Linked DNA regions of Alligator mississippiensis. The protein of the gene in region 1 purifies or fractionates together with the protein of each later gene. This does not show direct contact. Links are inferred from orthologs where the notes say so. Each region holds a gene or a part of one and is shown in the gene's direction. Other genes may lie near its edges.

Region 1 (3,921 bases):
CACTCTGCATGGGGCTGAACCCTGCCCAGGGCAGCCTGCACAGTGCTCCAGACTGTGCCCACTAGTGCAGCCCTGGCCAGAGTGCACAGCTTGCTGGGGCCTGCAGCTGCCTGGGTGCAGCTTGGCTCCCCTCACCTCCAGCTGCAGCTCTTCCTCCTACACTGACTGCACTGCTCCAGGTGGGGAGGAAGCTTCAGCCAGGCAGCTCCTGCCCCAGCATGCAGGGATCCGGCTGACTTCCACCCACTCCACCCGACTGAAGCTTGCTTCCTGCTCGGGGCAGCACAGCAATAGGAGGAGCCACTGCTAGAGGCTGAGCAGCACCCATGTGGCTGTAGCCACATCTGGATTAGCCCTGTGGGAAGCTGCGCATGCTGGCCTGGCCTGGGGCTGGAGTGAAGCACAGGCTGGCCCAGTCACAGCTCAGCCCCATCTGGAGCACCACAGGGGCAGCCACAGGCTGGGTCCAATCAGTTGGCATGTTGGATCTGGCCTGCGGCCCATATTTTACCTCCCCATTCTAAATCCTTCACTCCACAGGGGTTAGTGACCCTTTATTAGCCATCTTAATAGTCCACAAAGCAAGCTACCCTTTCATCTGCAATTCTGTCATCTCTAGCTGCTCCTGGTAGTGTAGCTACTACTTCATAGCACTGTGGACGGCTTGGACTCTACCTAAAAACAGTAGCTCAGGTATGGAAACATGAATTCAGGAGAACATTAACTCAGGCATGGAAATAACGTTCAGTTGAAGCACCAGATGCACCATCAAGATGCTCATAAAGGCTTGATTTTGTTTTATGGCTCTGAGATACTTTTAATTCTTAATGACTACAAGACTAAAGAAACAACATCTTCTGATTATTTCCGCTGAGCTTTTTAATATATAATATGTGACACAGCAAATGAATGCACGTCAGTGAAGTTAGGTTTGTTTTTGCTTTCATCTTAACCTGGAATAATACAGCCCCAGGCCCCTAGGATATCAATAACACTTCTAGCTTCTTCCCCTTACCTGGGGAAAAAAGTGTTGTGTTGTGCTTATATGTGACAATACACCACACCATCTGCCCATCTCCCTCAACCCCCTTTTGCCCCATTTCAAAATCCGAGATTCCCCGAAGCAGGAACGGACCCAATACAAGATTTCACCCCAAGGCATCCTGGCCACCCTGTACCCCAAAATAAAAGTGAACTCCTTGCCCTAACCGCCTATTTGGAAATGCCTTTTCTTTTTTTAAGCCACCCCATCAAACCCAAACCTGGCACTGTAGAGGCAGAGGTGGCCAACAGGCAACCTGGGTGGCAGCCTGCTATGGGTCAGGAGCCAGAGAGGGGTGGGGGCAGGGAGTAAAAAGCTGAGCAGCAGACTGGGCAGGCAGCAGAGACAGCAGGCAGCAGGAAGTGGAGCAGTGGATCACACTGGGAAGGGAAAGCAGAACAGCATACTGGGCAGGCAGCATGTCAGGACAGGGACACCAGATCACTAAACGCACCCCGGGGTGAAAGGCGCGGAAGCCGGTCCCGGGTGCGGGGCGGCCCTTCTGGCCCCTGTGCCGCGCCGTAGCGGAGCTGGGCGGGGTGGGGCGGGACATGCTGCTGCCGCTGCGGCTGTTCCTGGCGCGACGGGGGGCGCTGCTCCGGCTCTTCCCGCTCTGGGCCCCGGGCCCGCGGGCGCCGCCGTGCAGTGGGGGTGGGGCGCTGCGGGAGGCCGGCCGCGTGCTGGGCCCGGCCCGAGCCATGGCGCTGCCGCGGGAGGAGCCACCTTCGCCGCCGCCGTCGCAGGGTGAGGAGAGGAGAGGGTGGGGAGGGTAACTCCCAAGGCGCATGCGCAGGCGGAGGGGCGGAGCCCCATGACATCACCGCCCTAGGGGGCTGGAGGGAAGGCTCCGCCCCCGGGTCCCACCGCCGCATATCGGAGGCTGTTCTGCCTGGAGACCGCACGTGGGCGTGTCTCCCGGTCTGTCTGCTCGGCTCGTCTGCCACCGTAGAGATCGGTCTGGCTGTGCCTGCCCTGCCCACCCCCGATCTGCCCAAGTGTCTGTCTGTCTGTCTGTCGCCTACCCGACTACAGAGCAATGTCTCTGCCTACCAGAGAGTCCGTGTGGATCTAGCAAACGAGAGCTGTAGCGATCCAGCTGCTGACCCACCTGCCTGCCAGACTATCCATCGAGCGGTCTGTCTGTCCATCTGCTTTATCTGCCTGCCAAAGTATAGCTCGGCCTGTCTGTCTGTCAACCGAAATATGTTTGTATGTGTCTGGTGATCTGTCTGTCTACTGATCTACCTATCTACCAACCAAAGTGTCCTCTGACCTACCTACCATCCAGCCCAAGTGCTGCTTCGTCAATTAGTTGTTCTGTCTGTCTGCCATCTGCCAAAGTATAGATCAGCCTGTCTGTCTACCAAAGCACCGCTGTCCCTGTTTACCAAAGTATAGTTATATTTATCTAATAAGCCTGCCTACCAATCAAAGTATAGATCTGCCTACCTACATACCTGCATATCTAAGTCTGTCTAAATATAGAGCTATCTGTCTATCTACCTACCGAAGTATGGGTATAACTATCTATCAAAAGATCGATCAATGGATCAATCTACCGACTAAAGTATAGATATGTCCATATGAGTGTATGTGTATGTGTGTGTATTTTAACTGTTACTTTATGAAATCAAATTGTGGCAATACTAAAAGTGTGTGTCTATATCAGACACTTTTAGTATTGTCACAATTTGATTTCATAAAGTAACAGTTAAAAGAGAGAGAGAAAACTTTGTTATGATCTGCCCTTGCCAGTAATGCCTTAATGCCTAAAGTGAAGTTAATGCTTAAATAATAAAAAGTTCTACCACTGGCTATGAGAACTGATGTGGGATCCAGGCCCCCAAGTAGTAGGAAAGGAGATGACAAGCACTTGAAAAGTAGAAGAGTTGTGATTAGCTAAAGCAGTGGTGCTCAATCTACTTTGGTTAGTAGATACCGAAGTGGTTATAGCTATATATGTGTATGTATATGTATATGGTTAGAGCTATAGCTATAACCACTTTGGTATCTACTAACCAAAGTAGGTGCAGATCTTTCTCTCTCTAAAAAAGAGAGATACTGAAGTAGACATAAGTATAGGCATAGATATAGATCTATACCATACTTACCCAGATCCAAGACAATCCTGAATTTAAGACAGTCCTCCACCAATAATTAGATTCTAGACATAGAAAATGTGTTACTTTGTTATAATTTTTCCATGTATAGAATCTTATTAGTGGAGCGTCATCTTAATTTTGTCCTCAGCACCACTGCAGTGGGCAAAGCAGTCAGGCGGTGGCAGATGGTAAGTGGGGACCAGGGTGTATAGAGCCAGCGGGGGCAGACAGCAGCCATGGCTGTGGTCCCAACAGAGAATCACAGCAGCTGCCTAGCCCCGGTGTCCTGCCCCCTTGTAATGGGTTCCAAGACAAGGGCCTTTCCCCCCTTCTCCCATATTAAATGGTATGGGGGGAACCTTGTCTTCGAATCAAATAAATACAGTAGGTGTAGATATAGATTAGTATATAAGGTTAGTCTATAAGGTGCAAATCTATCTTGCCTTCTATTTGACTTCAGACTAACACATTAAACTACGTGGTCTCTTGCCCCATCCTTATTAACAAATTGAGGTCTGGGTGAGCGGAGGGAACTGAATAACTAACTCCTGCCTGTTTTAAGTCTGCCTTACCTCTCCAGAAACACTTTTATTCTCATAAATTTTGTGTCAGATATGATTATGATAGATTATAAAACATATTGTTTTATCATTAAGGAATTAATTGCATTTTTATGTCCTTGATTTTTGGTTTGTGCTGCCATCAGGTTTTTGATTTGTGCTGCCATTTGGTTTGTGTCACCATTGTGTCAAACAAAGGAGGACTAAGGAGGTCTAG
Region 2 (3,921 bases), on another chromosome or scaffold:
CTGCTACTCTGTGGAGCAGGAATCGAAACAGGCTGCACTTATCCTAGTCAGCATATCAGCTTCCCTTCTTAATTTGTGCACCCCATTTTTGGGAGCTGATTTTGGGAAAGGAGGTGTGGATTGTATTGGAAAATACATGGTAATACATTTTAGATTTTTATCAGTTTTCTGTTTTTTGATCCTTTAAGGATTGTAGTTTCAAAAGTTATTCTACAACCTTTTATAACCTGAAAAATGAGAATTCATATAATCTCACTACTCTTGGAGCTGGAGCTCCAATATTATGAGGTAGTTTGGTGATTGGGATCTTGTGTCTATCCATTCATGTACATTGGGAGCTGGATGGGGGGAGCAATGTATCATGTATCCATTAGTAAGGCCCAGAATCCACTAGCAGCAGTCATCCAGTGTAGTTTTTTTACTCCATAAGTGACCTCATTCACAACTTGGTTTTTGCAGCAGGGTAAAACTAGAAGGTGTAAGCAGTAGCTTTGTAGAATCTTGTTCATGTGGGCAGAGGAAATGATCAGTATTTTACTTCAGTCTGGCCTTCCTAAACAAAAAGAAGAAAATGGTGCTTTTAATACATACCATCAGTTATTTTTAACACTTAGAAAATGTGAAAATGTGGACACCATAGCTTAATATAATCAATTAACTATAATATATGATTCTGGTAAGACTGCATCTTAATCCTGTGAGGGAAATGGAAAACTTGTCCTTTGTCTTTTTCCTGTAATTCATTTATTTTTAGATACATGGATAATAACCAGTTTTTTTAAATATTACCTGGTTTCTGATTTTTGTCTCTGTCATAAGGCAGACTGTATATTTTAATTATTTCATCATATTTTTAGTTTTTAAAAAAGCTGTTGAACTCCAAGTTTAAGAAAAATATTAACAGCTCTTCTAATCATCACCTTCAGCTGATAGGAAGAGGTTTTTGCTAAGAAAAGCTCCATAATGTGCAGTTTAATATTAACAGGAAGTAGAACAGAAGTAGTGGTTTCAAAACACTGCATACAGGAAGTTTGACACATGCATACTTCTTAGCTTCTGTGTAAGTTGTTCAGCTCCTTTTAGATGTTTTGTGTTGGTTTTTTTTCTGGTTTTTTTTTTAAAGTAAGTTGTCAATGTATATAGATGGCAAGTCAGAAGGAACTGGCTTGTAACCAGTGCACAGGAACAACTACAGCTCTACAGAGACTGGAAGGCTTTGCTAATCGACTTTTTCATAGGCAATCTAGGGGTGCTGTTCATGAACAGAAAGTGGCTCTGGAAGATGAGAGCCATCATTTCTCTGAATTCACTGCCTTGTGGGACAGATCAAGTAAGTGCTTTTAGACACTTGAGGTTCATTTTGCATAGTAGTATGAGGAAATTTGCAAACAAACATAAATATGCAGTATAGAAACTACCATATAATGCAGCAATCTTTTCATAGCTTAACAGTTAGAAATACTACTTTAAAGAAATAGATATTTTATCATGCAGGTGGAAACATGGCATTGTTTCAAAATATTGGGTTTTGGGGAGGAGAGTTAGTTGCTTGCAAATTCCCTTTTCTTCTAGGCAAATGTTGTTGACTTGCTGGAATTTTTTGCAAACTTTTTTTCTTTCTGGCATTTGTTTGTCATTTCTTTCTTTAAGATGTAAATTTGCAAGCAATAATTGATAGCTTTCCTGTTTTAAAAAATGTTCAGGTGTGTTTTGGTGTTTAAGGTAGGATTTTTTTTTAATTCTGAAATTTTGGAAAGGAAGGACATTATTTTATGTTGATTGGGTCATTAAGTAGAGGGACACTTGTCCCTTGTAGTGCAGCTTTATTTTTAACTGAAATTTAAAATTCATTTTAGAGTGCTTATTAAAACATTAAACATCAAAGCAGTTCAGTGATTATTATTATTACAGATTGTTTCACTCAACTTTGATTTATAACTTTGATTATTGATACTGTTATTTCATAATTGTTCATTTGTACTGAGAAAGGGGTGTATTTATCTGTGTTACATAAAATGTGCTTGATTAAAATGCACAAAACTTGATTCCAACAAACATCATCAGTTAAGTAAAAATAATGCTGCTACTTTGTACATATTTACTTAAATTATTTGTTATTAGAAATGTACATACTTATCTTTCATCCCCATATTTCTGAAGAAGTGAAGGTGAGATCTTTTAAAGATTTCATAGTCCTAGTAAATTATAATGACATAAGTCTAGCTCTTACATACTTGCTTCTATACAATACTTTTGTATATAATTAAGCATGTATATCTGCTCAATATTACTTTATTGTAAGTAATGAATCATAATCTACACATTTTATATATTGCAATATGGTCATGGCATTTAATTTCATATCTGAATTTGCAATGAGTTGGAATAACGCAAGCAGTTACTTCTATTGAAAATAACAGACATAAGCAAAATGTGTGCACTTCCTAGTATTATAAGATCTCTGCAGAAAAACATGCCTGTTGTGAAGCTAAAACGTTGTCATTAGTGAGTGGTCCAACCTTAAAGGGTGTATATTAAACATGGAAAGTGGAAGGTGTTTCATATACCTACACTAGATGCAATCTATGTTTCCTACCTGAGGTACAGAGAAAGCACCTGGTTTTATGAGACAGTCAGCCATCAAGGAGAGTAAAGGGGAAACTGCATTAGGGAAACTGCATGACTTGAGACCCCTGAAACATTTCAGCGCAGCTTTATACATAATTTGTAAACGTATTTTTTCCTTTTCACATCAATTTTAATGGGTTTCTTTAAAATGGAACTTTTCCCTCTCTGTTATTGCACATACGTGAAAGGCCTGGTTAGAGATGTATGGGGTTGGAGGTGGCTCAACAGCACTAGTTCTCAATATTTTTAGACTCAAGGTACCTCTTGGGCAATACCCTACTCTTGGCTTTTGTTTGGGTTTATTTTTGGGGGGGGGCGGGTTGACTGCAGAAAAATAACAGCAATTCTGTCGCAAAGAACTCAGACCACAATATGTCAGAATGTTTCTTATTCGAATTCTTGGGTTTATCGTGTAGATTGTGTGTAGATGTTTGCACCCTTAACAGTGCTAATACTGAGCAGCACCCCATGATATGCTTAAAAGGATCCTGTGGTATTCTGAGATTGGCTTAACCTTTTTGCACTGCAGGCCAAATGGGCAGTGCCTGGTCTGTCCACAGAGACAAGGGGACATGGCCAGCTGTGCAGAGGGCAGGGGTGTGGTCTGGCCCCTATCCAGCTGTACATGGGAGAGTGAGGGAAGGGAAGGTGGGGTGGCCCAGCCATGATCCAGCTTGATCCAAATCCTGGACAGGCTCCAGTCTGGCTGCTCATGGCTAGCCTTGCCAAATTTCCCAACCCTTGGGGAGCCTTGCAGGCCTGATGCCATGTCTGCAGACCAAGGTTGGCCTGTGGGCTGGGGGTTGAGCGCCCCTGCTCTACAGGAACCATGCTTCTATTGAGCAAGGGAAGCAGTGGGGAGACTTACGGCATTGATTCTAGCGTCTGAGTTCTCTAGGGCAGGCAGAATCCTGATATTTTTTTAGATGGAAGGATAGTCTTGTCATTAATGCAGAAAAATTGGGAATGAAAAAAGATAGGTCCATTTTGGGCTGCACCATGAATTTTACATGGGAATAACTACGTCATTTAAACACTTTCCTGCTTTCCTTGTGAGGCTTAGTTTGCTAATGTATTTGGTAGGCTCAGATGCTCTGGAGATAAGTATAAAGCCCTATCTGCTTGACAGAAGAGAAGATTTGGAGAGAGATGGTCTAGAATATAATGAAGCGTTGAGCCCTAAGATCCCTAAACATTTCTGTATCCTAGTCCACGAAATCTACATGTTTTCACACCTTGACAGGGGGTGGAGAGGAGCGGAAATACATTCAGGAGGCACAATTTAAAGTTTTC

Evidence for each region.
Region 2: the proteins of AKAP7 (region 1) and PRKACB purify together in Homo sapiens (affinity purification with mass spectrometry; 4 studies listed by BioGRID and IntAct, counting the BioPlex papers as one, with this or other methods). This does not show direct contact. The link is inferred for Alligator mississippiensis from reciprocal best matches to the Homo sapiens genes AKAP7 and PRKACB.

Annotation. Positions count from the first base shown.
Region 1 is NC_081824.1:113,910,595-113,914,515, forward strand, and holds the start of AKAP7 (A-kinase anchoring protein 7), read left to right. Parts: upstream 1-1,603; 5' UTR 1,604-1,740; coding exon 1,741-1,786; intron 1,787-3,850; exon of another isoform or gene 3,851-3,921. UniProt on the Homo sapiens protein: Probably targets cAMP-dependent protein kinase (PKA) to the cellular membrane or cytoskeletal structures.
Region 2 is NC_081828.1:27,867,821-27,871,741, forward strand, and holds the start of PRKACB (cAMP-dependent protein kinase catalytic subunit beta), read left to right. Parts: upstream 1-1,128; 5' UTR 1,129-1,143; coding exon 1,144-1,330; intron 1,331-3,921. UniProt on the Homo sapiens protein: Mediates cAMP-dependent signaling triggered by receptor binding to GPCRs.